Arabidopsis thaliana: one gene and its partners. The protein of the gene in region 3 purifies or fractionates together with the protein of the main gene of each other region. This does not show direct contact. Each region holds a gene or a part of one and is shown on either strand. Other genes may lie near its edges.

Region 1 (7,740 bases), on a different chromosome or scaffold from region 3:
CCATAGACCTGTAAAGGGTGCCTTTAAACTCCTGCATCACTTTCTCAACCTCCTCGAGTACGCGCTTGAGTAAATTTACCTGTAACCAAAGTGTTACTCTATGCTTTCAAGAGCTTTGTAATGCAAGTGAATAATATGGTAACAAACAAGCGAATACTAGGAGAAACATGAGTGCTATCTGTCTGAAGAGTTGGATAATCGGGCATGCATACATGAGAAGGGAGAGCAATAGACTTCGCCTTCTTGTATTCCCGAACAGCCAAATCATACTCGCCTTTGCTAATACTACTACGAATTATACTGGGTAAATTGAAGAGTGTACGGAATCTCTGAAGCATTCCTTGTACAGACCTGATCTTCTCAGCTTGGGCCTATGAATAATGGTGAAAACAGTCTAAGCAGATAGCAAGAGGCTAGGAAAACACCAAAAAAACAATAGTACGTGACCATACAAACCTGTCTCTCAAAAAGTGGCTCAAAAGCACGATTAGCCCGTGATGTCACACTCTTCATACAATTAAACAAATGAGTAGTTCCCGATCCGTCTGGGTCGTCTTCAATCCGTTTCAGTTTTGATTCAATATCTGTAAAGAAAGGCAGTAATGTTCACATCAACAAGAGAGAAGAGTAAAGTTCAAAATAGATAATTGAGTGTAATAATGCATACCATCAATTGTTGTTTTACACGAGACAAAGCAGTCAAAATTATCTTTCACCAATTGTTTCCTTTGTAGATTACGGCCCTTTAAGTCACTTTTCAGGGCAAGGGCCCCAGATTCTAAGTCTGCTGCACTTGTCTCTTGGTGAATGCGAGAAATAAATAGCTTGGGATCGAAATGGTCAGAGGTGTACACCAACTTTTCTGCAAATTCTCAGACCAGTTAAAGTTAGAAAACCGGAAGTTGTACATCGAGTAATCCCGCATAAAGTTCAAATCAAACTCCAAATTCCAAGTATGGTCATGAAGAAATACATACCCCTAAGTGCATTATCCACTTTCTCAGCTTTTGAAAGACTTTCAGATGACTCAGTGATTAATCTCAGTGTCTTGTTATCTATTATCCTACAAGGTACACAAAAGCCATATTTAGATACCCCCTAACATACAGTGTTCCCCGAGATAGACTAAGGTATTCGAATGACGGTAGAGGTGAGCAGCACAAACGAGAGGAAGTACCCCAATTTTAGCGGATCAATGCATTCCATGCCACGAGGGAATGATTGCAAACTGGTAAGAACCACTTTCTTGTCAGCTCCAGATACCTTTCTATCAAGGTTCTGAGTCACGGATGGTGCTGTTCTCGACTCCCGCATATCACGAACCTTGCGTGCAAGCTGCCAAATGTCATTAGCATTTCAGTAAAAATGTTCATATTTCCAACTAAATTTTTCGTCATGCCATGATTCTAAAATAACTAATGGCCTTGAGCTGAGGTCTTCTACACCTCAATTCCATGAACAGATAATTAAAGGCCATACAACTAATATCACATATACGAATTGATTCAATTTCAAATCTTCAAATCGATCAAAGAAGCAAAGATTACTTAAGACTACTTCAAATCAAAACAATGCAATTGAAATTCGTAGGTCGAAATTGCACACATAATCTCTCCAAAATCAATTTAAAGCCAGATAAATCCAAACATGATAGAAACCGTACCTCAGCTTCATTAACCCGTTTCCAGCAATCTGGCTCCACTCCATCCCAAGCTCTATCATCTTCCTTCCGCGCTCGTCCTCTCTCCTTACCACTTCCACCTCTTCCTCTACCTCCGCCACCGTCACCACCACCACCTCTTCCCCGATCATTTCCCTCATCTTCATCCCCGCTCGAAATGCTAAGCAATTCCACCTCCGATTCATCATCCTCATCCATCGATGGCTTCCTTGACGCCTTCGCACCTCCCTTAGACGGAGGAGCTGCCGCCCTCTTTTGTCTCCGTGGCTGCTGCACTAAATTGGTGACTGGCTTACGGGAATTAGCGGAAGGAGGCTTCTGATAGGTAACATCTCTCTGAGATTGCTCCTTCAACGCCATTTGAAGTAGCTCATCTTCATCTAAATCATCACTGCTAGACATTGTTATCTCTGACTTAGATGATCGTCTTTGTCTTCCTCCCTTGAGCTAATCGCAGAGATCTGTGCAGTTCTTATTTGAATTTAGTTTTGTGACTTTTTCCTTTGAAGAATTTTTCTTCTGTTTTCGACTTTTTCCAATTTCCATGTATTAATGAAATAAAAACTGGAGACTCACAAAACGCAGTCGTTGATTATTTTAACCTAAAAGTTATAAATTCTCCTTACTCAAGCTTTCTTCTTCGATCGAAATTTATAAATACGACGCGACAAACCTGAATTGCGTTCAGAAACCCTAAAGCTCTCAAATATATCTCTGCAACGAAAAGAAATCACCTGCTTACTCTTCTCCTGAAAGACCTGATCTTCTCCGGTGAATTGTTTTTTGTTCCGTCAATCTTCCGAGTTTGTTTTTGCCTAATATGAAGTTAAACCCATTACAGAAAAAGGTAATCTTCTCTATCGCTCTGAACATTGTAGTTGATTTTGTTGATTTATTGTTGTTGTTTCTAGAGTTAATGATCGGATACCTTATTGTATGTTTTGTTTTCGGTATTGGGGGTTAATCACAGGCTATATTCATATTTGATTTCTATCAATGGATCCGAGGAATTCGAGTGCGTGGGGTGGGGGTGATGGTCTCCCCCTTATCTCATCCATGGGAGGTGTTGAATCAAAGAATAGATGCTGTGTGACTGACGACGATGGCTCTATTGGTACGAAGCTATGTGAGAAACCTAAAGCTGAGGAGATTGATTTTTCTGCTCGGAAAAAGAAGTTGAAATCGAAGAAAGGCGGGTCTGTTAGCTTTGCTCTTCTCGATGTTGAAGATGACAAGGAGGAAGCAGAGGATGGAGACGACAAAAATCCTTCTATTAGGAGTGATGAGGTGGTTGGAGAAACTTCAATGAGTAAGAAAAAGAAGAAGGATAAGAGTGGCAAGCATGGGGTATGTGAAGAAGATGATGATGCGGACAAGATTCTTGCTCAACATGGGATAACAACTACTGTTTCAACAGGGCCTGAAGCGGAGATAGCTCTAGCTCAACCTGAGCAAGTTGCATCTGCAGATGGGGCTGTTGACAAGGACGGAGAAGAAAAGACTGTTGAGTCAGCTACAGCGAAGAAAAAGAAAAAGAAGAAGGACAAGGACAAGAAAGCAAGTGCTTCTTTAGCTATTTCTTCTGTGGAGGCTAAGGAGGATAGACAAGGGAAGAAAGATGTAAAGATTAAAGTAGCGGAAAAGAAAGTTCCTAAACATGTTCGAGAGAAGCAAGAGACTCTTGCGCGGTGGAAAGAAGCTGAAGATGGGAAGAAGAAGGAAGAAGAAGAGAGATTGAGGAAAGAGGAAGAGGAGCGCCGTATAGAGGAAGAGCGAGAAAGGGAAGCTGAAGAGATTAGGCAGAAGAGAAAGATCAGGAAAATGGAGAAGAAGCAAGAAGGCCTGATTCTAACAGCAAAGCAAAAGCGTGATGCTGCTAAGAATGAGGCTTTCAGAAAAAGGGTGTTGACTGATGCTGGAAGTCTTCTTGTTGCAGATAAAAACGGTGATTCCTCAAAACGTCCCATATATGGCAATAAAAACAAATTAGCTTGCAAAAAAGCAAACGATCCTGCTTCTGTCCAGGCTAAAGGTGATGGGGAAACCAAGGAAAATCATGCAGCAGATGAACCATGTACTTTACCTGACTTGGTTTCAGTTGAAGATAGAAGGGTTGGTATTATCGAATCAGTAGACACAGAAGAGACACATGAATCTGTTGATGTATCACAAGAGAATGGTGATGAGGAAGATGTGTGGGATGCAAAAACTAATTTTACCATCAAGGGTGATTCTGATGATGAGGAGGAAAAACCTCAGCCTGTGTTCAAGAAAGGTTTAAAAGACACTGCATCAAAGGCACATGATTCAGGTCAGTAGAAACACCCTAGGAAGAAGAACCTCAGCCTGTGGTTTTATTATCTTTTGTCTCTGATTTATCTAATATTTTGGGTTTCAATACAGTTCCTGGCGCAGATAGACCAACAGTGAAGCCTGGAGGTTCTGGCAAGCCAAAAACAGCTGCCAAAAAAGCTATGCCTAAGGTGGATGATACTACCCGGCCGAAAGATACTTCTAAAAAGGATGAAGGCTTAGTACTGAATGAACTTGCTAAAGAAGTAGAAGAAAATCTTCGCTCTCCAATTTGCTGCATCATGGGTCATGTTGATTCTGGTAAAACAAAGCTGTTGGATTGCATCAGAGGAACAAATGTTCAGGAAGGTGAAGCTGGAGGTATTACTCAACAGATTGGTGCAACCTTTTTCCCTGCAGAAAACATCCGTGAGAGGACCAAAGAGTTACAAGCTAATGCTAAACTCAAGGTGCCAGGTATATTGGTTATCGATACACCTGGACACGAGTCATTCACAAATCTGCGGTCAAGGGGTTCAAATTTGTGTGACCTTGCAATTCTAGTGGTTGATATAATGCGAGGTCTAGAGCCACAAACCATAGAATCTCTTAATCTTTTGAGAAGAAGGAATGTAAAGTTCATTATTGCCTTGAATAAGGTGAGACTTCTTGTCATTCTGTTGGCATGTGTTTGGTATCTTTATTGTCACTGATGTATGGCACAAAACCTCCAAATTTCAGGTGGATAGGCTATATGGGTGGGAAAAAAGCAAGAATGCTCCTATAAGGAAGACAATGATGCAACAAACGGGAGATGTGGTTAAGGAATTTAAAATGAGGCTAAACCGAGTAAGTTCTTCGTCTAAAGGTTTTAATCTTTTAGTGTGAATGGGATGTGCGTGTTCTAAACTTATTAACTAATATTGTTTCATTTGTGTTCCAGGTTCAAAACCAGTTCCAAGAACAAGGACTCAACAGTATGCTTTATTACAAGAACAGAGAAATGGGAGAAACTATCAGTATCCTACCTGCTAGCGCTATTAGGTCTGAAATGTTTTTGCTATCTCCAAATTTTAGTCTAACATAGAGGTCAACCATGCTAACTAACTAATTGATTAATGTTGGATACTGATATTTCAGTGGGGAAGGGATTCCAGATCTTTTACTGTTCTTGGTTCAATGGGCTCAGAAAACGATGGTGGAGAAACTTACATATGTTGACAAAGTGCAGGTTTGTCTCATTCCTCTTTTAGGTAATGAATCGTTTCTGCACTACTTCAGCTTTCTTATCTTTTCTTAAAATGGTGACAGTGTACCGTCCTTGAGGTCAAAGTTATTGAAGGCCATGGTATTACAGTTGATGTTGTTTTGGTCAACGGTGTACTCCGTGAAGGTGATCAAATTGTTGTTTGTGGGTCACAGGTAAGTAGAAAACTCATGGGTCATACCTAAACATGTAATATGCCAAGTATATCATAAAACTGGAGACTTGATGTAATTGGTTTATTTTTTTCCTTTCTTCTATTTCAGGGACCAATTGTAACAACTATTAGATCATTGTTGACTCCTTATCCTATGAACGAGATGCGGGTGACGGTACTTTCAGATAGTCCATTTCTTGCCTCTTGTTATTATTATTCCTAGGGAAACATGGTTTATGCAAATAGCTTTCTACATTCCTTTTTCGTACACAATGACAATTTTTGGTCTGATATTTCAGGGTACCTATATGCCTCACAGAGAAGTAAAGGCTGCGCAGGGTATCAAAATTGCTGCACAGGTGATTGTCTCTGACATTACAATTACTTTATTCTTACCTTGATCTTAATTACTTAGCACAAATGAGGACATCCTGAACAAATGTTTCCTATATTTTTGGTGTTTATAAAAGGGCCTTGAACACGCCATTGCTGGTACTGCCTTGCATGTGATTGGACCTAATGAGGACATGGAAGAAGCCAAGAAAAATGCCATGGAAGATATTGAGTCAGTTATGAACCGCATTGACAAAAGTGGTGAAGGCGTTTATGTACAAGCATCTACATTAGGGTCCTTGGAAGCATTGCTCGAGTTCTTGAAGTCCTCAGATGTAAAAATACCTGTCAGTGGTATTGGCATAGGACCTGTGCATAAGAAGGATATCATGAAGGCCGGGGTAATGCTAGAGAAGAAAAAAGAGTTTGCAACGATTTTGGCCTTTGATGTGAAAATAAGTGCAGAAGCTCGTGAACTTGCAGACAAAATGGGAGTAAAAATCTTCTGCGATGATACCATCTATTGTCTGTTCGATAAGTTTAAGAGTTACATAGAGGGTATCAAAGAGGAGAAAAAGAAAGAAACAGCTTGTGAAGCAGTTTTCCCATGTATCCTTCAGATTTTACCAAACCATATCTACAATCAGAGGGACCCAATTATCCTTGGAGTTAAAGTCAATGATGGAATACTAAAGGTATATGGTATTTTCTCATTCAGGATCTGAGTACACTTTTCTGCTGGATCACAAAGATCTAACAATACGGTCTTGTTGATTTAGGTTGGAACTCCCATTTGCATTGTTAAAAGGATTGAGAATGTAAGAGTGTTTATGGACATTGGGCGCGTCTCATCAATTAAGAATAACAACAACATGCCAGTTGATTATGCAAGGAAAGGACAGGAGGTGGCTATTAAGGTATGAGATCCCTCTTTTTGTCATCATTTTTCTAGTTTTTACTGCCTTTCCTTAAAAACTAATGTTTGTTTTCGTATTAGATCATTGCTTCTAACCCAGAAGAACAGAAAATGTTTGGGAGGCACTTTGGTGTAGACGACAGGCTTATCAGTCACATTTCTAGTCGATCCGTGGACGTAATCAGAACTAATTACTGGGTAAGTTGTATACAGTCTTTCTTGCCCTGGGTTGTCAAAAATGTTGTTTTAACATTAGCTTGTGTTTTAGTAAAGCTTAAACTGATATTCGAAACCTGATTGCAGAATGAGTTATCTAACGACGAGAAGGATCTTGTTTTGAGACTTAAAAGGATATTCAAGATACAATGAAGATTTTTGAGATTTGAGAGTGAGGGACTTAAACTTATGTATTTTTTTTCTTTTTTTGAAGTGCTGATTTTTTTATTTTTTTTTCGTTTTTAATAATATAGACAAACAACTCCTTTAATGCCCCTAAATACTTTATGGAAGCAATTGTCTTTTGTTTTTGGCTACCAATATTTTACAAAATATTTTGATATACATATAATTTACAAGATAATACCCAGACTGGCTTATTGTGTAACTTAATAACATTTGAGGCGAATCTATGAATAAAGAGAAATAAAGGACCTATTCACAGATTCAGACAACATCGTCGCATTTTGATTTTGAATCGATTATTTTACCTACACTCGTGTATGAGCCAGTCCTCCGGAATAAGACAACATCTCCAGGAGTCTCTACGAAATTCTTCGGCTCTCAAAGGTATTCACGACGGTCTTTTAGCTCTATTCTCTATTGAGAACCTGATTTTTCCGGTGAATTTTGATTATTGCAAAGTTGGAGAATTTTTGAGATTTAGAAGAGATACTGGCTTAGGATTCGTATTCATGTCGAGCTTATTACACTGTAGAAATGTCGTAGATTGTGCGTTTACTTCTTCCACTGTTCGTCGCATTGTCAATTTAGGGTTTTTAGTGGGTAGAATAAGAACGTTGTGTTCAGTGTCACAAGTGAAATCAGAGAATCTCGAAAAGCAAAAACCATGTTTGGAATCTTTTACAGTTTCTTATCTC
Region 2 (7,250 bases), on a different chromosome or scaffold from region 3:
TTAAATAGATTATATGTTAAATCTAGTAATTAGTTAAGTCACAACATATGTTTAAGTATATCTAATAATTAAATATATTGTGACCTTTATAAAGATAAAAAAAAAAGAATGTGACATTTTTCAAAGAATTTCATAAAACTATACTATAATTTAACCTTTTTTTGTTTTGTTTTGTTTTGCCATCTCAAAATTTGTAATCGAATATACAATTCACAAGCAAGAAACAAAAATAAAAATAATGGTTTATTTAGTTGTAATTTTTTGTTGGGTTTATAGTTGGGCTTTGATGTTGTGTAATTGGGCTTTGGTCACTCTTGTACTCTTTTTTAAAATTAATGAAACAGTTTGACGACAAAACAAAATAACCCAACAAGGAAGCCCAGAAAAAGCCCAATCGTAAATGAAACAAGCGGAAGAGACAGAGCACAGTGAACAGTTAATTCTTAACGCCGTGAAAAATACCTTTAACGCCGTCTTTTGTTCGTCGTCGTCGTGTTCTCTCTCTCAAACTCTCAGGTAACCAAACCTTCTTCAGTTTTCCGGTGGTTTCGTTTGTAGAAGCAAGTTTCTTCCTTTCCCAATAAAATTGTGTAGATATTAAAATCCCAGAAATTGATAAAACCAAAATTTCTCCCTTGTGACAAAATTTGCAGGTAAGTTGAGATTTCAGAAAAGATTGAGCTTTTAACAATTTTCATTCTTGGAATCACTTACTTTGGTGATAACTGATAAGATTTGTGTATTGTAAGTTTGTAACATATAGAGGAAGCTACTTTCAATGAAACACTGCGGAATGAGAGTTGGAATTGGTGTTGTTCCTGTTAATTTTCTATGTATGAGTGGAAATGTGTGCGTTGTATTTTCTGCTTATATTGGATGTTTTGGATAGTGTTTCAAAACGTAACTTGGTGTTAATTAGTAGAGGCCTCAAGGATTTAACTTTTCACAGCTTATGAGAGTGATCCTTTAGCAAATAATGAATCTCAAAAAGTTAAACGGAAATGGAAAGGACCACGATGAGGATACCTCCACGTCACCAAAATCCAGTGAAGCATCTCACTTGAGCTCTGGTCCTCAGGTATCATTTCACATGAATCTTTTACTTATCTTTGATCTTTCTATTTCACTAAGCTCATCTCATATTCGACAATAGATAAATGCTTCTTTATCTGACTTGTGTTAGATAGACATAACATTCATGCCTGTGTTTATAGTATAAGCACTCTGAATCAGTCTGAGTCTCTTCAAAAAAGTTCAAATCGAAAGGTAAACTGTTTTCTTGTTGGATAATCTTAGGAACCACAGAGCCCCTACGTGGAAGAATTCAAACTTGGAGATGAACAATTCAACTATTGCTTCCCACCTCCTGCCGCAGAGAAACACTCTATGACTGGCTATGATTGATTCAGGTGAGATCAGAGGTATCTCTGTAGCAGTTTCTTACTTATTCAAATCCCGTTTGTATAATTTATATACCATGCAGATGCAGTCATATTGATATTGCAGTTGTGTGCCATGTATGTATATTTGCCTTTGTTTCTTTGGTTTTGGGTTTTAATGTGAATTTGGGATTTTTAGAAGAAAATGATTAATGTTGATAGCACATGAAAAGGTCTTTGATTAATGTGATTACACTGATTATTTTAAAGTAAAAATTTAATTAATAGTTAAAGTAAATTTTGTTTAGATTGAGATTCGGTTTTTTTTTAAGTTTATATTTTACATTTATTAATATTCAATATATATATAAAAGAGTTAATATAATAAAATAATAATTAAATATGTCAAAAATAACTTTATTTGAAGATAGTTTTAACTATGAGTTATTTTGGTCTCTTTTTTAGAATGAAATCTTTGAGTTTGCAGTAAGGTGAGATTTTAATAAATGTTTGTAAATCCTAGATTTTGAATGATTTTAACAAATGCTAGATTCAATAAGATAAGATTTAAAATAAATTTAAGAATATCATGATTAAAAAATTGAATTAAAAGATTCATGAGCTTGATTCGGTAATGCCATATAAAAAGATGTCATCACAATATACATGGTGATTTGTTGGAAGATTTCGGAACCAATGGGTCGGAAGAAGCCGAGTAGTTCTCGAGGTGGAGATGATGAGCAACCACCTGCTGCGTCATCTCTCGTTGGTGCTGAATCCAAGAAGAAAGCTGTCCAAAGTGATGAAGAAGATAAGTACTCCATAAATACTGAGGAAGAGAAAGTTGTTATCACTGGGAAGAAGAAGAGTAATAAGAAGGTTACGCAGAAGCATGATGACGACGATGATTTTACTGAGGCTGTTCCCGAGAATGGTTTTGTAGGGAAGAAGAAGAAGTCCAAAGGTAAGAACAGAGGTGGCTCTGTTAGCTTTGCCCTGCTTTCTGGTAAGGAGGAAACGGATGATAATGAATCTAATGGGGACAAAGATGATGAGCCAGTTATAAGTTTTACAGGTAAGAAGAATGCGTCTAACAAGGGTAAAAAAGGCTTTGCGGTTTCAGCTTTTGATGCCCTTGGTGGTGATAAGGATGACGAGGAAGTGGATGGAGATGAGGAACAAGTTTCACCTATCACTTTCTCTGGTAAGAAAACGAGGTCCTCCAAATCTTCTAAGAAGACCACTAATAAAGTTGCTTTGCCTGACGAGGAAGAAGGGACAATGGGAGACGAAGAGAGCCTCGAAATCACGTTTTCCGGTAAAAAGAAGGGCAGCATTGTTTTGGCCTCACTAGGTGATGACTCAGTTGCCGACGAAACTAGTCAAGCTAAAACTCCTGATACTAAGAGTGTGGAGGTTATAGAAACTGGAAAGATCAAGAAAAAGAAGAAGAATAAGAATAAGGTTGCAAGGACATTAGAGGAAGAGGATGATTTGGACAAACTTCTTGCAGAACTTGGAGAAACCCCTGCTGCTGAAAGACCTGCTTCATCGACACCCGAAGTAGAGAAAGTTCAAGCTCAGCCTGGGCCAGTTGCACCTGTAGAGAATGCTGGTGAGAAGGAGGGTGAAAAAGAGACTGTTGAGACTGCTGCAGCGAAGAAAAAGAAAAAGAAGAAGGAGAAAGACAAGGAAAAAAAAGCAGCTGCTGCAGCAACCTCTTCTGTAGAGGCTAAGGAGGAAAAACAAGAAGAATCAGTTACTGAGCCACTACAGCCGAAGAAGAAGGATGCAAAGGGTAAAGCAGCAGAGAAGAAAATTCCTAAACATGTTAGAGAGATGCAAGAGGCTCTTGCACGGCGGCAAGAAGCAGAAGAGAGAAAAAAGAAGGAAGAAGAAGAAAAATTAAGGAAGGAGGAAGAGGAGCGCCGCAGGCAGGAAGAGCTTGAGGCTCAGGCTGAGGAGGCTAAGCGTAAGAGAAAGGAAAAGGAAAAGGAGAAACTGTTGAGGAAGAAGCTAGAGGGCAAGCTTCTAACAGCAAAGCAAAAGACTGAAGCTCAAAAGAGGGAGGCGTTTAAGAACCAGCTGCTGGCTGCTGGTAGAGGTCTTCCTGTTGCAGATGATGTTGGTGATGCTACTTCCTCAAAGCGTCCCATTTATGCCAACAAGAAAAAACCATCTCGCCAGAAAGGCAATGACACTTCTGTCCAGGTGGAAGATGAGGTAGAGCCACAAGAAAACCATGCAGCTACTTTAGGTGAAGTGGGTTCAGAAGACACTGAAAAGGTTGATTTACTAGAGTCAGCAAACACAGGCGAGAAATCAGGTCCTGCTGATGTAGCTCAGGAGAATGGGGTTGAGGAAGATGATGAATGGGATGCAAAAAGCTGGGATAATGTTGATCTTAAAATTGACGATAAAGAGGAAGAAGCTCAGCCTGTGGTTAAGAAAGAATTAAAGGCACATGATTCAGGTTAGTACGAAATGTAGTTAATTCTTCTCCCTAGTGTTTTATCCAATGTCTGTTTTTAATCTAATTTTTTGAACTGTTACAGACCATGAAACTGAAAAGCCAACAGCTAAACCAGCAGGTATGAGCAAGCTAACAACAGGTGCGGTAAAAGCTATTTCTGAAGTAGAAGATGCTGCTACACAGACAAAACGTGCTAAGAAGGGTAAATGCTTAGCTCCAAGTGAATTTATAAAAGAAGGTGGAGAAAATCTCCGTTCTATTATTTGCTGTATCATGGGTCATGTCGATAGTGGTAAAACAAAGCTGTTGGATTGCATCAGAGGAACAAATGTACAGGAAGGTGAGGCTGGAGGTATAACTCAGCAGATTGGTGCAACATATTTCCCTGCCAAAAACATCCGAGAGAGGACCAGGGAACTGAAAGCGGATGCAAAACTTAAGGTGCCAGGTCTATTGGTTATCGATACACCTGGCCATGAGTCCTTTACTAATCTGCGGTCAAGAGGTTCAAGTTTGTGCGACCTTGCAATTTTGGTGGTTGACATAAAGCATGGGTTAGAGCCACAAACCATAGAATCTCTAAATCTTTTGAGGATGAGGAATACAGAGTTCATTATTGCATTGAATAAGGTAAGACTGCTTGTTATTCTGCTACGATGGGATTTTTTTCTCTGTTGCAAAACTTATATGGAAAATAAAATCTTCACTTTCCAGGTGGATAGGCTATATGGATGGAAAACATGCAAGAATGCTCCTATCGTGAAGGCAATGAAGCAGCAAAATAAAGATGTTACGAATGAATTCAACATAAGGCTGACTGATGTAAGTTATACGTCTAGAGTTTCTTATGTATGGTTTGAGCTATCACTTTGTGTACATATTTTTCAAATTATGTTGTTCTATGGTATTCCAGATTATAACCCAATTCAAGGAGCAAGGACTCAACACTGAGATTTATTACAAGAATAAAGAAATGGGAGAAACTTTCAGTATTGTTCCTACTAGTGCTAAAAGGTATGATTCATGCCGTATGAATCTCTATTTACTGTTTGTAATATACAGCGTAACAGACAAGTTATTCATCCTAAACGTAATTGGGTAACGTTGGTTCTTGATATTACAGTGGAGAAGGGGTCCCAGATCTCTTGCTGTGGTTGGTTCAATGGGCTCAGAAAACAATGGTTGAGAAACTTACATATGTTGACGAAGTGCAGGTCTCTTTCCTTTCTCTTTAGGTAACACTTGTTTCTGCAATACTTCAGCATGCGGATTCTGATCTTTTCTTGAAATTGTTGAACAGTGTACTGTACTTGAGGTCAAAGTTATTGAAGGCCATGGGACAACGATTGATGTTGTGTTGGTAAACGGTGAACTCCATGAAGGTGATCAAATCGTCGTTTGTGGGCTACAGGCAAGTAAAAAAACTAATGATCCAAACAAGTAACGCACTGGGTATACATAGAACTTAGAAAAGTGAGCTTATTCTTCCTCATATTTCAGGGACCTATTGTCACAACGATTAGAGCATTACTGACTCCTCATCCAATGAAGGAGTTAAGGGTGAAGGTACTTTTAGATCTCCACTTCATGTCTCTTGTTACTGTTTTTTCCTCGAGTAACATACATTATGCAAATTGTTGCCGATGTCAATTTTTTTAACACACATCAAAAAGTGTTGTTTTGATGTTGCAGGGTACTTATCTGCATCACAAAGAAATAAAGGCTGCACAAGGCATCAAAATTACTGCCCAGGTGAAATGGACTAACTCTACTATAATCTTTGTCACTAGCAGCTGGTATTAAATATACTGACGTTTAGATGATATCCTAAATATTTTGGGTTGTGTTTAAAAGGGCCTTGAACACGCAATTGCTGGTACTTCCCTGCATGTGGTTGGACCTGATGATGACATCGAGGCAATGAAGGAGTCGGCTATGGAAGATATGGAATCGGTTTTGAGCAGGATTGACAAAAGTGGTGAAGGAGTTTATGTACAAACGTCTACATTAGGGTCATTAGAAGCATTGCTTGAATTCTTGAAGACCCCAGCTGTAAATATACCTGTCAGTGGTATTGGGATAGGGCCTGTGCATAAGAAGGATATAATGAAGGCTGGAGTGATGCTCGAGAAGAAAAGGAATATGCTACAATTTTGGCTTTTGATGTGAAAGTGACTACAGAGGCTCGTGAACTTGCAGACGAAATGGGAGTAAAAATCTTCTGCGCTGATATCATCTATCAGTTATTCAATCAGTTTCAGGTTTACATTGAGAATATCAAAGAGGAGAAAAAGAAGGAATCAGCCGGTGAGGCAGTCTTCCCATGTGTCCTTCAGATTTTACCTAACTGTGTGTTCAATAAGAGAGACCCAATAATCCTTGGAGTTAAGGTCCACGACGGTATACTTAAGGTATCCTATTCTTACTCTGCTATATTCTCGGTAACTTGCTCACATGTCCAAGGATTCTCAATCCTTTTAACATTCGTCTTGTTTGTTTTAGATCGGAACCCCCATTTGCGTCCCGGGCAGAGAGTTCACAGATATTGGCCGCATTGCCTCTATTGAGAACAACCACAAGCCTGTTGACTATGCAGAGAAGGGCGACGAGGTGGCGATTAAGGTAATAAGGGGATCATTCCCTTCAACAACCTTTGTATAGAGAAAGAGAGAGAGAGACAAAAGTTGTTGAGGTTTCAACTTGATGCTTTTCTCTGGTTGTATAACAGATTGTTGCTTCAAATCGCGAAGAACAGAAGATGTTTGGAAGGCATTTTGACATGGAAGATGAGCTTGTGAGTCACATTTCGAGGAGATCTATCGACATACTCAAAGCTGACTACATGGTAAGTCAAGGATAAGATAAGTTGTTTCCCATCTACGTTTTCTTTGACTCATTATTCTGACCCAAAACAAATGCTCGAAATTAAAACCAATAACAATTGCAGAAAGAAATGTCGACAGAGAAATGGAAGCTCCTATTGAAACTGAAGAGAATCTTCAAGATTCCCTGAACAGTCAAATGTCTACTCTAGAGCTTAAAACACTCGCGGGCCTTGTTGTTACGTCGTGTCTGCTGCATAACGAAGGGATTTATCTTCCTGATTCGTTTTTTTAATAACTATATTAGGCTGAAATTTGTAACCCTGTTAATTAATTTAGCCAATATCAAGAAAACTCTTAATAGGTAATACTGAAATTATATAATCTTATTGAAATTCTAAATTCTCATATAAAGCATGTTATTTCGTTAAAGAGAGTTTGTTACAGACTCTGACTTATATAGAGGCCTCTTGAACCCGGTCTACACACTAAACCTTAATTAGGGTTAACTCAACCGAGCTACAATCATCATATACAGTATATTATTAGTATATATCTTCAAATAATAACCGGGAA
Region 3 (7,195 bases):
ACACTAATATTGCAGACTCTAGTAGAGATTGGCCTTGAACTAAATTAGGAAAACAATATATGATCTGATTTTGCAGATTCTAGTAGTTAGACTTTAATTCCTAATTTCTTCTATCGTAATTTAATAAAATAATACACATAAACCAAAATGAAGAAACTTGAGCCATTAGTTATAAGCAGAGGAAAAGAAAAGAATGATGATCAGTTCAAGAATCATAATCGTGATCTTGCTTTTCGTCTTCACAACAAACTGTAAGTACATTTCAGATTTGCATAGTTGCATATGTCGTATAGTTAAGTATCTGATTTCGCACAACAACAAAAAAAAAGTGAAAAAAAAAACTGAAGTATCTGATATGAATGTTTCTAGAAGTCTAAACCGTGGATTGTTTATTCACGTATGTGGAAAAAGAATAATCAAGAACAAGTCAATCTGTGAATTGGAAAACAATCAACGTTTCTGTTTAGATTTAGGAAGTTGCCTATAATTTTTTATTTTTCCTTATTTTCTTTGAATGCTTGTTTACGTTTACTTATAAATAAGGATGTAGTCTCGTTTTTGAAAAGCATCCAAGCAATTGAGAGTTTTGGAGGATTCTGTCGAATTAGGCCGAGGAGAAGAGGACGTAGTTTCTCTTTGAGGAGTTTTACTCTAATCTTGTTACGCTATCATTTTCTCAGTTTTAATAAAGAGAGTTTAGAGATTATTTTTGGCTTCTAACAATTGGTCCGACCTAAAGATCTTATTTATCTAACTTTCCATATTGTTTTGTACACATTCAGCTTTAACAGAACTAATATCTACATTCTCTACCACTTCTATTCACTGTTCATCTTGTGAGCAGGAAAAAAACCCGAATCCATAGTATTTCTGTGTGTATCCATTCACAAGAACACTCTTTTTCGCGGTTCCTCCCTTCTACCCTTTATCCAACACCACAAACTTCCTAATTCTCCATAAAGATATGGTAAAGTTCCTTAAGAGTCTAAATCATCGAGTTGATACCGTTGCCATTAGGAACATAAAAGCAAACGAAAAGCTTCATCAACTTAAAGTATATATCTCTATTTTTCCATTAGGCACAAATAGATTTAGTCAAATGGAAATGGCCCTAATTGACTTGTCTTCAGCAAAAAAGATTACAAGCCTCCAGCAATATTTGGTGAATACTATTTTAAAGCCGATATGTACCATCATTTCGCTGGTACGTTCAGTATTGATTATGACGTCATTATTATAATGAAAACAAGTACTAATAATAACATTAATTGGTTATGACGGATTTGATATATGTTCAAAATTTGCTTGAAATATGCACAAATTGTGCTCAAAATATGACAAAAACATATGATCTAGTTATTTGTGCAAATGTTATCAATGTGTCATTTTCGAGTCTAAACCCAATAATACAAGTTGTAGACAAAAAAAATGTATTCATTCACAATTTTATTAACCAATTGTGGGAAATAAATATATTCTTAAAATAATTAGGAGAAAACCTTATGGTAAAACTACTTTCACCATAAATTGCAGCTTACTCTATCAATTTGATTCTTGAATAGGAGTTGAATATTTTAGTTACTTTATTTTTGCTGCATAGATTTTATTGTTCATAAATAATACATACAACTGTTATATGTGGATTATTTATCAATTATCAATATTCAAACTGAGACAAATTAAAAACTTCTCTAATTAGTGTATTAGACTAACCGGTTTTAAAAAAGCATGTAATTTTGATTGGTTTAGATAACTAATGATCGTCTTTTATATTGGGCTTATAGGCCCTTCTAGTCGGCCCAACACACATGAATAGCTCACAAATTTCTCTTCTCCTTCTTCCTCTTTTCTCACAGCTTAGCACAGACCGAATTTTAATTTCTAACTTTGACAAACAGATTAAAACCTTTCTTCGATTCGACACTGAATCACGAAATTTCGAGAGAGACTAAGATATGGTGAAGGTACGAATGAACACGGCGGACGTCGCCGCCGAAGTCAAGTGCTTGAAGCGATTAATCGGTATGAGATGCTCCAACGTCTATGATATATCTCCCAAGGTAACAAATTTCTACAATGAAAAGCTTCAAATCCCCTGATTCATTTGATTCGATTTCCATTAGGGTTTATGTTTTGATTTTGCTCCAATTTCTTCTACAGACGTATATGTTCAAGCTCTTGAATAGTAGCGGTATCACAGAATCTGGTGAAAGTGAGAAAGTTTTGCTTTTAATGGAAAGTGGTGTTCGTTTACATACCACAGCTTATGTCAGGTAAAAACCCATCTCTAGATTTTGAGCTTTTGTTTTGGGGAAGTAGTAAAGTAATGATTTTTTTTTCTCTCACAAATTTGTGTAGGGATAAGAGTAATACTCCATCTGGGTTTACTTTGAAGTTGAGGAAACATATCAGGACTAGGAGGCTTGAGGATGTTCGACAGCTTGGTTATGATAGGGTATGGAACTTGGAGTTTTCTATTGTGTTTTGTTTGGTTGCCATTTATTGCGTTTTTTGGTTTTAACTTTTGTTGTTTGTACCAGATTATTGTCTTCCAGTTTGGGCTAGGTGCTAATGCTCACTATGTTATATTGGAGCTGTATGCTCAAGGAAACATAATTCTTACTGATTCTGAGTATATGATCATGACACTCCTCCGCTCTCATAGGTTTGTTTTTGTTACTCTACTTTTATCAGATCGTTTGTTTTTGCTATGTTTGAACTGCTCAAAGTGCTTTTGTTCGTGTGGCTTTTTATACTGAATGATTGATTTTTATTTCTGTAGAGATGACAATAAGGGTTTTGCTATTATGTCTCGTCACCGTTACCCGATAGAGATATGTCGAGTCTTTGAGAGAACAACTGTTTCAAAGCTTCAGGAATCACTTACTGCTTTCGTGCTTAAGGATCATGACGCAAAACAGATTGAACCGAAGGAGCAGAATGGTGGCAAAAAGGGTGGGAAGTCAAATGATTCTACGGGTGCCAAACAATATACATTGAAGAATATTCTTGGTGACGCTTTAGGCTATGGGCCACAGCTCTCAGAGCACATTATTCTGGATGCTGGTCTAGTTCCAACTACCAAACTTTCAGAAGACAAGAAATTAGATGATAATGAGATTCAGTTATTGGTTCAAGCGGTGATCGTTTTTGAAGATTGGCTTGAAGATATTATAAATGGTCAAAAAGTTCCTGAAGGTTATATTCTAATGCAAAAACAAATTTTGGCAAATGACACGACTTCTGAATCAGGAGGTGTTAAAAAGGTCACTATTTTACTCTATGCTTCTTCATTTTTGTATTGTTTAATGGCAATGGATTTTATGTATTGAATTTTCGTTTGCCTGGTTGCCTACAGATGTATGATGAGTTCTGTTCAATCTTACTAAATCAATTCAAATCAAGAGTGTATGAAAAGTTTGAAACTTTCGATGCGGCTTTAGATGAGTTCTACAGCAAAATTGAGAGCCAAAGGTCTGAACAACAACAAAAGGCAAAAGAAGATTCTGCCAGTCTGAAACTCAATAAGATTCGCCAAGATCAGGTTTGTAGTATTTATTAATGTACTGGTTTGGAACTTCCATTTCCATATATCTCTGTAAAACTTTTCTTTAAACTTATCTTAATTGCAATGTTTCTATACTTGTGTTTTAGGAGAACCGTGTTCAAATTCTGAAGAAAGAAGTCAACCATTGTGTTAATATGGCGGAATTAATCGAGTACAACTTAGAAGATGTAGATGCTGCCATATTAGCTGTTCGTGTAGCACTTGCAAAGGGTATGGGCTGGGATGATCTAGCTCGCATGGTCAAGGAAGAAAAAAAATTAGGAAATCCTGTTGCTGGAGTCATTGACAGACTTTATCTGGAGAAGAATTGCATGACCTTGTTGTTGTGCAACAATCTCGATGAAATGGATGATGATGAGAAGACGGTTCCAGTGGAAAAGGTGTTGATCTCTCCTCACTTTGATTGAATATACAAAGCTCATCTTCTTTCTTGTTCTGACATATGGAGCACGATGTGGTTTTGTAGGTGGAGGTTGACTTATCACTTTCTGCGCATGGTAATGCTAGGCGCTGGTATGAAATGAAGAAGAAGCAAGAAACCAAACAGGAGAAGACTGTTTCTGCCCATGAAAAGGCTTTTAGAGCAGCTGAGAAAAAGACCCGCCACCAACTTTCTCAGGTAAGCTTCCAACCTCGTCGCTGTTAATCTTGTTTAATGTTTCTTCCTCGCAGTCAACTAATCATTTGCATTTTTCTGGCTGAAAGGAAAAAGTGGTTGCAACGATTTCACACATGAGAAAAGTCCACTGGTTTGAGAAATTTAATTGGTTCATTAGCAGTGAAAACTACTTGGTCATCAGTGGTCGTGATGCTCAGCAAAATGAGATGATAGTTAAACGTTACATGTCAAAAGGAGATCTGTAAGTTTTAATATATAGAACTATTTATCTAGTCTTTGTGTTAGTATTAAATATTCAAAGATGATGATAAGTTTTTAACCATGCTTTCTTAGGTATGTACACGCAGAGCTTCATGGAGCATCTAGTACTGTGATAAAGAATCATAAACCTGAACAAAATGTACCGCCTCTCACTTTAAACCAAGCTGGATGTTTTACGGTAAGCAATTTCATCTACTATTTTGGTTGTTTGAATTATGTGAATATGGTGCAATGTCTTGATGGCAGACTTTTGGATATAATATGATGCAGGTTTGTCATAGTCAGGCCTGGGATTCCAAGATTGTTACTAGTGCATGGTGGGTTTATCCTCATCAGGTCACTAAAACAGCTCCTACTGGGGAATACCTTACAGTTGGAAGTTTCATGATACGAGGTAAGAAAAACTTTCTTCCACCACACCCACTCATCATGGGTTTTGGATTATTGTTTCGTTTGGACGAGAGCTCCTTGGGAGCTCATTTGAATGAGAGAAGGGTAAGAGGGGAAGAGGAAGGAATGAATGATGTAGTCATGGAAACACATGCTCCTGATGAGCATTCAGATACTGAGTCAGAGAACGAAGCAGTGAATGAAGTGGTTTCTGCCTCAGGAGAAGTTGATTTGCAGGAATCAAGTACGGCATTGAGCCAAGATACTTCTTCTTTAGACATGAGTTCATCTGGTATTACTGAAGAAAATGTTGCATCAGCCACCTCACAGCTTGAAGATCTTCTTGATAGAACCCTTGGTCTTGGTGCTGCAACGGTGGCAGGCAAGAAAGATACAATAGAGACATCAAAAGATGATATGGAAGAGAAGATGAAACAGGAAGAGAAGAATGCAGTAGTGAGAGATAAGCCTTATATGTCAAAAGCTGAAAGAAGAAAGCTTAAGATGGGCCAAAGCGGCAACACAGCTGCTGATGGTAACACTGGGCAAGAAAAGCAGCAACGAAAGGAAAAAGACGTTTCTTCTTTAAGCCAAGCTACCAAGAGCATACCTGATAACAAGCCAGCTGGGGAAAAAGTTAGCCGTGGGCAAAGGGGTAAACTTAAGAAAATGAAGGAGAAGTATGCTGATCAAGATGAAGACGAAAGAAAAATACGGATGGCATTGTTGGCAGTAAGTACTTCCCTTGGATTCTCCATTTTTTGTCATAGACCATCATTGTTCTCTTATCAGTACTTCATAACTGGTAAATTAATTTGTCTCCCCTTTGCAGTCGTCTGGAAAGCCACAGAAGACTGATGTTGAATCACAGAATGCAAAAACCGCGGTCACTGAAGTGAAGAAACCTTCTGAAGGTAAAAAATTTCAATTTTGTCTTTTTTCTTCTGAAATTGTTTCCGGGCATACACTTTCCATTAGACTGGAACCATATGATACTGATAGTTGCTTTGGGTTGCTGTGCAGAGACAGACGATGCTGTGAAAATATGTTACAGGTGTAAGAAGGTTGGACATCTTGCTAGGGATTGTCATGGGAAAGAAACTTCAGACATGGACAAAGTGGTGATGGAAGAAGACGATATTCATGAAGTTGGGGACGAAGAGAAAGAAAAACTGATTGATGTCGATTACCTTACTGGTAACCCGTTACCAACCGACATCCTTTTATATGCGGTCCCCGTGTGCGGCCCCTACAATGCTCTCCAGTCATATAAATACAGAGTCAAAGCGATTCCAGGCAGCATGAAGAAAGGAAAAGGTAACAACACATTCTCTTCCAAGTAGTTGTAAATGTAGAGCTTTTGGACTGTATTGATGTTGACTTTTGTGTTTGGACAGCTGCAAAAACTGCAATGAATCTGTTCACACATATGTCGGAGGCGTCAGTAAGGGAGAAAGAGTTGATGAAAGCTTGTACGGATCCGGAGCTGATGGCTGCTCTTGTCGGGAATGTGAAGATCACAGCAGCAGGTTTGACGCAGTTGAAGCAGAAACAGAAGAAGGGCAAGAAAAGCGGGAAACAACAACATAGCTAGGTTTTAGGTAACTGCTGCGTTGCAGCGAAGAAGGCTTTTACAAACATATAGCAGATTGGTTCATATCTTTGTATGTTCACTCTTGCAAAAACGAAACATCATGTTACAGCCCAAATATTATCAGAATCAAAGTGATTTGAAAATTTAGTAAATTTTGGCTAAAGAGAGCTCTAGTTATGAACTAATACATTTCATTATCAGTAAAATCCATAAATAGCTGAAAACAATCTCAAAATAAGCTTTTAAATCCTACGGCATGGATTCTTCTACTCCTGTTTTTTTTGCTTTTAAAACCTTTTCTGCTTCATTTTTTCTTGTTTTGTAGAGAACTCAGAAATAATTTGCGAATTACAATTTGATCAAACCTCTCTTCTTCTCCTCTTTCTTCTTCCTTCTTCATCAAAACTATTACATTTCTACATTATCTCAAACATCTCCAAATCATTATCTTACACGAAGAAGGAAGAGATAAGAGCATCAATTTTTAAGTATCGGGGTTTCAATTTGCATTCGATCTTTTATTCCATATTTTACTATTTGATTTGATTTTACCAAAACCTAAAAAAAAAATCTGCAATTTTGGGAGGGAAAATTGTCCTTCAAACTATTCTTGATTTCGTCTCTGTCCCCTCCAAACAATAACCAAAAGCCAAAAGAGAAGTGCTACAAAACATCAATGGCGGAGGAGAGATCGCCGAGTAAGGTGAAGTTCATGTGCAGTTTTGGCGGCAGAATCCTCCCTAGACCATCGGACAGTGTTCTC
Region 4 (7,720 bases), on a different chromosome or scaffold from region 3:
AGGCTGAGCTTGATCTTTCTCTTCTTCGGAAGCAGGCTTTCCAGCAGCAGGAGTTTCTCCAAGTTCTGCCAGAAGCTTGTCCAAATCATCATCTTCCTGAAGTGTCCTTCCACTCTTGTTCTTCTTCTTATGTTTCTTACTCCTTGCCGATTCTACAAGCTCCACACTCTTAGAATCAGAAGTTTTAGATTGACTACTTTCTTCATCACCTATTGAGGCCAAGACACTGCTGCTCTTCTTTTTAGATGATTTTTTCCTACCTGAAAACGTGATATCATTATCCTCTGCTTCCTCCCTGTTATCTTCATCAGCAAGCAGGGCAAAGCTAACAGAGCCACCGTCTTTTTTACCTTTCGACTTCTTATTATTCCCTACAAAAGCATTATCCGGAACAACCTCTTCCTCCACCGCAAACTTATCAGCAAAATCATCGTCGTCATCCTGCTGCTGCTGCGTACCCTTCTTATTCCTTTTCTTACCCTTCTTCTTCCCAGTGATAACAACCTTGTTTTCCTCAACTTTAGGCTCCTCAAGACATATTGAGTATTCATCATCATCAATTTGAACAGATTTCTTATCAGATTTAGAACCAACGAGAGATGACGCAAGTGGTTGCTCATCATCTCCACCTCGAGAACTCGGCTCCTTCCGACCCATGGATAAATTACAGAGCCGGTTCCAAATTCTTTCCGGCTAATCAATCAATCCAGGTAAAAAAAAATTAGTTTTTTTTGAGGATCGGCACAAAGGACACAGGAGATGAGAGAATCGAAGAAGCTTACCTTACGTGAGTAATCAAAGCGAGCCGTTTGAGAGAGAGCAAAAACTCTTACTTCATCACTAATCTAATCCTTTTTTTAATCTAATTTCTCAACTCTAATTCCAATCCATTATTAGCCCAATTATTAAAGCTCCTCTCCCAAGCCCAATATTCAAAACCCAATTTACAAACATTAATCATTTTCTTCTAACAAGCCCAAATTCACAAAATCAAAAGCAAAAGAAAAAGGAATAATATATCTGCCCCGTTCTCACCTGAATGGCTGAATCAATCATAGACAGTCGAAAAGTGTTTCTACTAAACCACACAAGCATGAATGTTATGCCTATCTAACAAAAGTCAGCTAAAGAAGCATGTGTCCATTGTTGAGGATGGAGAGAGATGAGTCAAGATCAGAGATAAGCCAAAGGTTCATGTTCCATGATACCTGAGCTGGAGTGAGATCATACTTCACTGACTTGCCCGAAACTAGAAAATTTTCAACGACCGCCACGACTCTCCGAGAGAAACCCGGTCTCAAGCAATCTCCCTTGCACGCGAGTGGCAATCCTAGGTCTTTTCAAGCAATTACGTTTTCTTTTGTTCCTAGAGAAACGAATCGAGAAGCTCATGCCTTAACAAAGCTCTCTCTTAAAAACTTCCAAAAACAAAAAACATTGGATGCGGATATGTTTTAGAAAAGTATTTCAAACAAATCATAACGCGAGAAGATTATTTTTTTAAATGAATACTTTAAACAGCTAAATCATGCTGATTTCCCTTATTTTAGTCCATATTAATAAAATTTATGTGTCTTAATTATATAAGTTAGATTTCAGTATATTAAAACGTGAAAATTACAACTGTTGAATCCCATTCAGAAATTACATTTTATAACAAAGAATATGACATATCTTTTATTTTAAAAGAAAAAATAACACTATCGAGAAAGAAAACGGAGAAAAAAATAGTATTTAACAAACGTCACAATTTTTTTTTATTAGAATCGGTAAAATCTACACAGCGTTTAGCTCAACCCTAGGAAGCTTCACGCCGGTTTCTCAAAGCTTCGCTATTTCTCGGTTCTCTACTCTCTCTCTCTCTCTCTCTCTCTCTCCGCGCCGCGCTCTCTCTCTCTAAACTTAGCTCAGCCTATCGATTAATTCCTCTCCGGAATAAGGTAAAGCTTCTTCGATTCTCTCCTCTTAGCCACAGTATCGCTTCCTCGTCTCTCTTGTGGTTTCATTTTCTAAAAGGATTGTGTTGTGCCGATCCCAGAAAACCTAATTTGTTTCCGTTCGAATTGTAGGAAATTTCACCTCGATTTATTGATTAGTCGGAAGAATTCGGAACCAATTCTGAACCAGACCTGAAATTTTCCAATGGGGCGGAAGAAGCCGAGTGCTCGAGGTGGAGATGCTGAGCAGCAACCTCCTGCGTCATCTCTCGTTGGTGCTACTAAATCTAAGAAGAAAGGTGCTCAAATTGATGACGATGAGTACTCAATAGGTACTGAGTTGTCTGAGGAGTCTAAAGTTGAGGAAGAGAAGGTTGTTGTTATCACTGGGAAGAAGAAGGGTAAGAAAGGTAATAAGAAGGGTACGCAGCAGGATGATGATGATGATTTTTCTGATAAGGTTTCGGCTGCGGGGGTGAAAGACGATGTTCCTGAGATAGCTTTTGTTGGGAAGAAGAAGTCGAAAGGTAAGAAGGGCGGTGGTTCTGTTAGCTTTGCCTTGCTTGATGATGAAGATGAGAAGGAGGATAATGAATCTGATGGTGACAAAGATGATGAGCCAGTTATAAGTTTTACGGGTAAGAAGCATGCGTCTAAGAAGGGTAAAAAAGGCGGTAATTCATTTGCCGCTTCAGCTTTTGATGCACTTGGTAGTGATGATGATGATACAGAGGAAGTGCACGAAGATGAGGAAGAAGAGTCTCCTATCACCTTCTCTGGTAAGAAAAAGAAGTCATCTAAGTCTTCGAAGAAGAACACTAACTCGTTTACCGCTGATTTGCTCGATGAAGAAGAAGGGACTGATGCTTCAAACTCTAGAGACGACGAAAATACAATTGAAGATGAAGAGAGCCCTGAAGTAACGTTTTCAGGTAAGAAGAAATCTTCTAAAAAGAAGGGCGGCAGTGTTTTGGCCTCAGTAGGTGATGACTCAGTTGCAGACGAAACTAAAACTTCTGATACTAAGAATGTGGAGGTTGTGGAAACTGGAAAGAGTAAGAAAAAGAAGAAGAATAACAAGAGTGGAAGGACAGTACAGGAAGAGGAAGATTTGGACAAACTTCTTGCAGCACTTGGAGAAACCCCTGCTGCTGAAAGACCTGCTTCATCTACGCCTGTAGAAGAGAAAGCAGCTCAGCCTGAGCCAGTTGCACCTGTGGAGAATGCTGGTGAGAAGGAAGGAGAAGAAGAGACTGCTGCTGCGAAGAAAAAGAAAAAGAAGAAGGAGAAAGAGAAGGAGAAAAAAGCAGCAGCTGCTGCTGCAGCAACCTCTTCTGTAGAGGTTAAGGAGGAAAAACAAGAAGAATCAGTAACTGAGCCACTACAGCCGAAGAAGAAGGATGCAAAGGGTAAAGCAGCAGAGAAGAAAATTCCTAAACATGTTAGAGAGATGCAAGAGGCTCTTGCTCGTCGGCAAGAAGCTGAAGAGCGAAAAAAGAAGGAAGAAGAAGAAAAATTGAGGAAGGAGGAAGAGGAGCGCCGCAGGCAGGAAGAGCTTGAGGCTCAAGCTGAGGAGGCTAAGCGTAAGAGAAAGGAAAAGGAAAAGGAGAAACTGTTGAGGAAGAAGCTAGAGGGCAAGCTTCTAACAGCAAAGCAAAAGACTGAAGCTCAAAAGAGGGAGGCTTTTAAGAACCAGTTACTTGCTGCTGGTGGAGGTCTTCCTGTTGCAGATAATGATGGTGATGCTACTTCCTCAAAGCGTCCCATTTACGCCAACAAGAAAAAATCATCTCGCCAGAAAGGCATTGACACTTCTGTTCAGGGGGAAGATGAGGTAGAGCCAAAAGAGAATCAAGCAGATGAACAAGATACTTTAGGTGAAGTGGGTTTAACAGACACTGGAAAGGTTGATTTAATAGAGTTAGTAAACACAGACGAAAATTCAGGACCTGCTGATGTAGCTCAGGAAAATGGGGTTGAGGAAGATGACGAAGAAGATGAATGGGATGCGAAAAGCTGGGGTACGGTCGATCTTAACCTTAAAGGTGATTTTGATGACGAGGAGGAAGAAGCTCAGCCTGTGGTTAAGAAAGAATTAAAGGATGCTATATCAAAGGCGCATGATTCAGGTTAGTATGAAAATTTAGTTCTTTGTTCTTCCTAGTGTTCCATCCATTGTCTGATTTTTGTCTAATCTTTTGCATTTCTACACAGAACCTGAAGCTGAAAAACCAACAGCTAAACCAGCAGGTACAGGCAAACCACTAATAGCTGCCGTAAAAGCTACACCTGAAGTGGAAGATGCTACACGGACAAAACGTGCTACCCGAGCAAAAGATGCCTCTAAGAAGGGTAAAGGCTTAGCTCCAAGTGAATCTATTGAGGGTGAAGAAAATCTCCGCTCTCCCATTTGCTGCATCATGGGTCATGTCGATACTGGTAAGACAAAGCTGTTGGATTGCATCAGAGGAACAAATGTACAGGAAGGCGAGGCTGGAGGTATTACTCAGCAGATTGGTGCAACATATTTCCCAGCTGAAAACATCCGAGAGAGGACCAAGGAACTGAAAGCCGATGCAAAACTCAAGGTGCCAGGTTTATTAGTTATTGATACACCTGGCCACGAGTCCTTCACGAATCTGCGGTCAAGAGGTTCAAGTTTGTGTGACCTTGCAATTTTGGTGGTGGACATAATGCATGGGTTAGAGCCACAAACCATAGAATCTCTAAATCTTTTGAGGATGAGGAATACAGAGTTCATTGTTGCATTGAATAAGGTAACACTAATTGTCATTCTGCGAGGATGGGATTTTTTTCTCTGTTGCAAAACCTATATGGAAAATAATATCTTCACCTTCCTCCAGGTGGATAGGCTATATGGATGGAAAACATGCAAGAATGCTCCTATCGTGAAGGCAATGAAGCAGCAAAATAAAGATGTTATAAATGAATTTAACTTGAGGCTGAAAAATGTAAGTTATAGGTCTAGAGTTTCTTATTGTATGGTTTGAGCTATCAATTTGTGTACATGTTGTTCAAATTATGTTGTTTCATTGGTATTCCAGATTATAAACGAGTTCCAGGAGCAAGGACTTAACACTGAGCTTTATTACAAGAATAAAGACATGGGAGACACTTTCAGTATTGTTCCTACTAGTGCTATTAGGTATGAATCTCTATTTACTGTTTGTAATATACAGCGTAACAGACAAGTTATTCATCCTAAACGTAATTGGGTAACGTTGGTTCTTGATATTACAGTGGAGAAGGGGTCCCAGATCTCTTGCTGTGGTTGGTTCAATGGGCTCAGAAAACAATGGTTGAGAAACTTACATATGTTGACGAAGTGCAGGTCTCTTTCCTTTCTCTTTAGGTAACACTTGTTTCTGCAATACTTCAGCATGCGGATTTCTGATCTTTTCTTGAAATTGTTGAACAGTGTACTGTACTTGAGGTCAAAGTTATTGAAGGCCATGGTACAACGATTGATGTTGTGTTGGTAAACGGTGAACTCCATGAAGGTGATCAAATCGTCGTTTGTGGGCTACAGGCAAGTAAAAAACTTATGATCCAGACCCGAACAAGTGATGGCACTGGGTAGACATAGAACTTTTCTAAGTGATCATATTTTCTTCCTCATATTTCAGGGACCTATTGTCACAACAATTAGAGCATTACTGACCCCGCATCCAATGAAGGAGTTACGGGTGAAGGTACTTTCTGATTTCCACTTCATGTGTTTTATTACTGTTATTCCCCAGAAATATGGTTCATGCAAATCACTTCCTAGGTTCTTTTTCTATACACAATGAGAATTCCTGGTCTGATGTTTCAGGGTACTTATCTGCATTACAAAGAAATAAAGGCTGCACAGGGTATCAAGATTACTGCCCAGGTGAAATGGACTTCTATATTCTTTATTAAATATACTTATGTTTAGATCACATCCTGAACCATTTTTGGGTTGTGTTTAAAAGGGCCTTGAACACGCAATTGCTGGTACTGCCCTGCATGTGGTTGGACCTGATGATGACATCGAGGCAATTAAGGAGTCGGCTATGGAAGATATGGAGTCGGTTTTGAGCAGAATTGACAAAAGTGGCGAAGGAGTTTATGTACAAGCGTCTACATTAGGGTCATTAGAAGCATTGCTTGAATACTTGAAGTCCCCAGCTGTAAAGATACCTGTAAGTGGTATTGGCATAGGGCCTGTGCATAAGAAGGATGTAATGAAGGCAGGAGTTATGCTCGAGAGAAAAAAGGAATATGCTACAATTTTGGCTTTTGATGTGAAAGTTACTACAGAGGCTCGTGAACTTGCAGACGAAATGGGAGTTAAGATCTTCTGCGCTGATATCATCTATCATCTATTTGATCTGTTTAAGGCTTACATTGAGAATATCAAAGAGGAGAAAAAGAAGGAATCAGCCGATGAGGCAGTCTTCCCATGTGTCCTTCAGATTTTACCTAACTGTGTGTTCAATAAGAAAGACCCAATAGTCCTTGGAGTTGATGTCATCGAGGGTATACTTAAGGTATCTATGCTTTTAATTTCCTACATTCTCTGTAACTCTCACCCATGATGACACAAGTGCTAGGGTTCACACTTTCTTATCTGTCTTGTTTGTTTTCAGATTGGAACCCCCATTTGCGTCCCTGGCAGAGAGTTCATCGATATTGGCCGAATTGCCTCGATTGAGAATAACCACAAGCCTGTTGACTATGCAAAGAAGGGCAACAAGGTGGCAATAAAGGTAATAATTGGATCATTCTGTTTTAACAAGGTTGCAAATCTTTTGCTTACAGAGAAGAAAAGAGTTATGTTTGCTGCGGTTTCAGTTTCACGCCTCGTAATCGATGGTTTCTTTGGTATACAGATTGTTGGTTCGAATGCTGAAGAACAGAAGATGTTTGGAAGGCACTTTGACATGGAAGATGAGCTAGTGAGTCACATATCGAGGAGATCTATCGACATACTAAAATCTAACTACCGGGTAAGTGGAGAAAATGAGCTTGTTTCCCCTTTTAAATCATCATTTTGATAGGAAAACTGATGTAGATCAAAAACCCAAACTAATTTGCAGGATGAATTATCGTTGGAAGAATGGAAGCTAGTAGTGAAACTGAAGAACATCTTCAAGATACAGTAGGAGATTCAAATGTCTACTTTGGAGCTTGAAACACTCTCACATGCCTTGTTATGCCGTGTCTGCGTCGATGCAGAACAAATAGATTCGTCTTCCTGCTTCTAGCGGAGAAGCCTTCACAGAAGATTTGAAAGAGAGACAAGAGAGAGTTTTTGTTTTTGGTTTATTTTCTTTCTTTTTTTGGTCTTTCTCCCTGAAAAGTGCTGAATAATTGGTTCATGAACCTTCATGCTGGCAAATTGCAGGGGAAAGAAGAGCCTTGGGTCTTGAGATATACCACATATCATCTTTATATATGCTTTTTTTGACTTATTTCCATTTTTGTTGACAAAGGAAAATATTCGAATAAATGTTTTTGTCCAATTACTATGTTCTCTGTGGTGTCAAATCTTGAGTTTCCGTTAAGGGAAAATACTTACAAAAATGAATTATCACATCTAATATCAAGTTACAGTCATGAAGTTTTGGTGAAAGCTCATCTTCGTTTATCAAAATATACGTATATTATAAGATTATTTGTTGAAAACAAATATTTTGATTTCGTAATAATATGGAATGTGTAACTAAAAGCAAGCTGCTCCTCCTTTTATGGAGATGTGAAAAGCATGAATGCAAATAATACATAAGATTTGTAGT

Evidence for each region.
Region 1: the proteins of emb1441 (region 3) and AT1G21160 fractionate together in Arabidopsis thaliana (co-fractionation; one large-scale study listed by BioGRID). This does not show direct contact.
Region 2: the proteins of emb1441 (region 3) and AT1G76720 fractionate together in Arabidopsis thaliana (co-fractionation; one large-scale study listed by BioGRID). This does not show direct contact.
Region 4: the proteins of emb1441 (region 3) and AT1G76810 fractionate together in Arabidopsis thaliana (co-fractionation; one large-scale study listed by BioGRID). This does not show direct contact.

Annotation. Positions count from the first base shown.
Region 1 is NC_003070.9:7,407,393-7,415,132, reverse strand, and holds AT1G21160 (eukaryotic translation initiation factor 2 (eIF-2) family protein), read left to right. Parts: upstream 1-2,083; 5' UTR 2,084-2,528; intron 2,529-2,651; 5' UTR 2,652-2,677; coding exon 2,678-3,992; intron 3,993-4,084; coding exon 4,085-4,632; intron 4,633-4,714; coding exon 4,715-4,822; intron 4,823-4,916; coding exon 4,917-5,017; intron 5,018-5,113; coding exon 5,114-5,204; intron 5,205-5,284; coding exon 5,285-5,395; intron 5,396-5,503; coding exon 5,504-5,569; intron 5,570-5,693; coding exon 5,694-5,753; intron 5,754-5,864; coding exon 5,865-6,422; intron 6,423-6,506; coding exon 6,507-6,644; intron 6,645-6,724; coding exon 6,725-6,841; intron 6,842-6,946; coding exon 6,947-7,012; 3' UTR 7,013-7,202; downstream 7,203-7,740. Other genes in the region: SEC5B (Exocyst complex component SEC5), read right to left, coding at 1-79, 213-371, 457-584, 668-862, 978-1,063, 1,178-1,335, 1,664-2,083; AT1G21150 (Mitochondrial transcription termination factor family protein), read left to right, coding at 7,363-7,740.
Region 2 is NC_003070.9:28,793,606-28,800,855, reverse strand, and holds AT1G76720 (eukaryotic translation initiation factor 2 (eIF-2) family protein), read left to right. Parts: upstream 1-1,979; 5' UTR 1,980-2,045; coding exon 2,046-3,852; intron 3,853-3,934; coding exon 3,935-4,482; intron 4,483-4,566; coding exon 4,567-4,674; intron 4,675-4,765; coding exon 4,766-4,866; intron 4,867-4,975; coding exon 4,976-5,066; intron 5,067-5,152; coding exon 5,153-5,263; intron 5,264-5,352; coding exon 5,353-5,418; intron 5,419-5,544; coding exon 5,545-5,604; intron 5,605-5,706; coding exon 5,707-5,923; intron 5,924-5,949; coding exon 5,950-6,263; intron 6,264-6,354; coding exon 6,355-6,474; intron 6,475-6,580; coding exon 6,581-6,712; downstream 6,713-7,250.
Region 3 is NC_003076.8:20,307,497-20,314,691, reverse strand, and holds emb1441 (zinc knuckle (CCHC-type) family protein), read left to right. Parts: upstream 1-1,799; 5' UTR 1,800-1,955; coding exon 1,956-2,060; intron 2,061-2,160; coding exon 2,161-2,273; intron 2,274-2,358; coding exon 2,359-2,455; intron 2,456-2,540; coding exon 2,541-2,665; intron 2,666-2,782; coding exon 2,783-3,266; intron 3,267-3,358; coding exon 3,359-3,544; intron 3,545-3,654; coding exon 3,655-3,948; intron 3,949-4,034; coding exon 4,035-4,187; intron 4,188-4,273; coding exon 4,274-4,428; intron 4,429-4,520; coding exon 4,521-4,626; intron 4,627-4,718; coding exon 4,719-5,570; intron 5,571-5,670; coding exon 5,671-5,752; intron 5,753-5,861; coding exon 5,862-6,155; intron 6,156-6,235; coding exon 6,236-6,432; 3' UTR 6,433-6,659; downstream 6,660-7,195. Other genes in the region: AT5G49920 (Octicosapeptide/Phox/Bem1p family protein), read left to right, coding at 7,109-7,195.
Region 4 is NC_003070.9:28,830,733-28,838,452, reverse strand, and holds AT1G76810 (eukaryotic translation initiation factor 2 (eIF-2) family protein), read left to right. Parts: upstream 1-1,704; 5' UTR 1,705-1,940; intron 1,941-2,069; 5' UTR 2,070-2,142; coding exon 2,143-4,066; intron 4,067-4,151; coding exon 4,152-4,714; intron 4,715-4,801; coding exon 4,802-4,909; intron 4,910-5,002; coding exon 5,003-5,103; intron 5,104-5,198; coding exon 5,199-5,289; intron 5,290-5,376; coding exon 5,377-5,487; intron 5,488-5,584; coding exon 5,585-5,650; intron 5,651-5,772; coding exon 5,773-5,832; intron 5,833-5,914; coding exon 5,915-6,472; intron 6,473-6,571; coding exon 6,572-6,691; intron 6,692-6,814; coding exon 6,815-6,931; intron 6,932-7,021; coding exon 7,022-7,087; 3' UTR 7,088-7,551; downstream 7,552-7,720.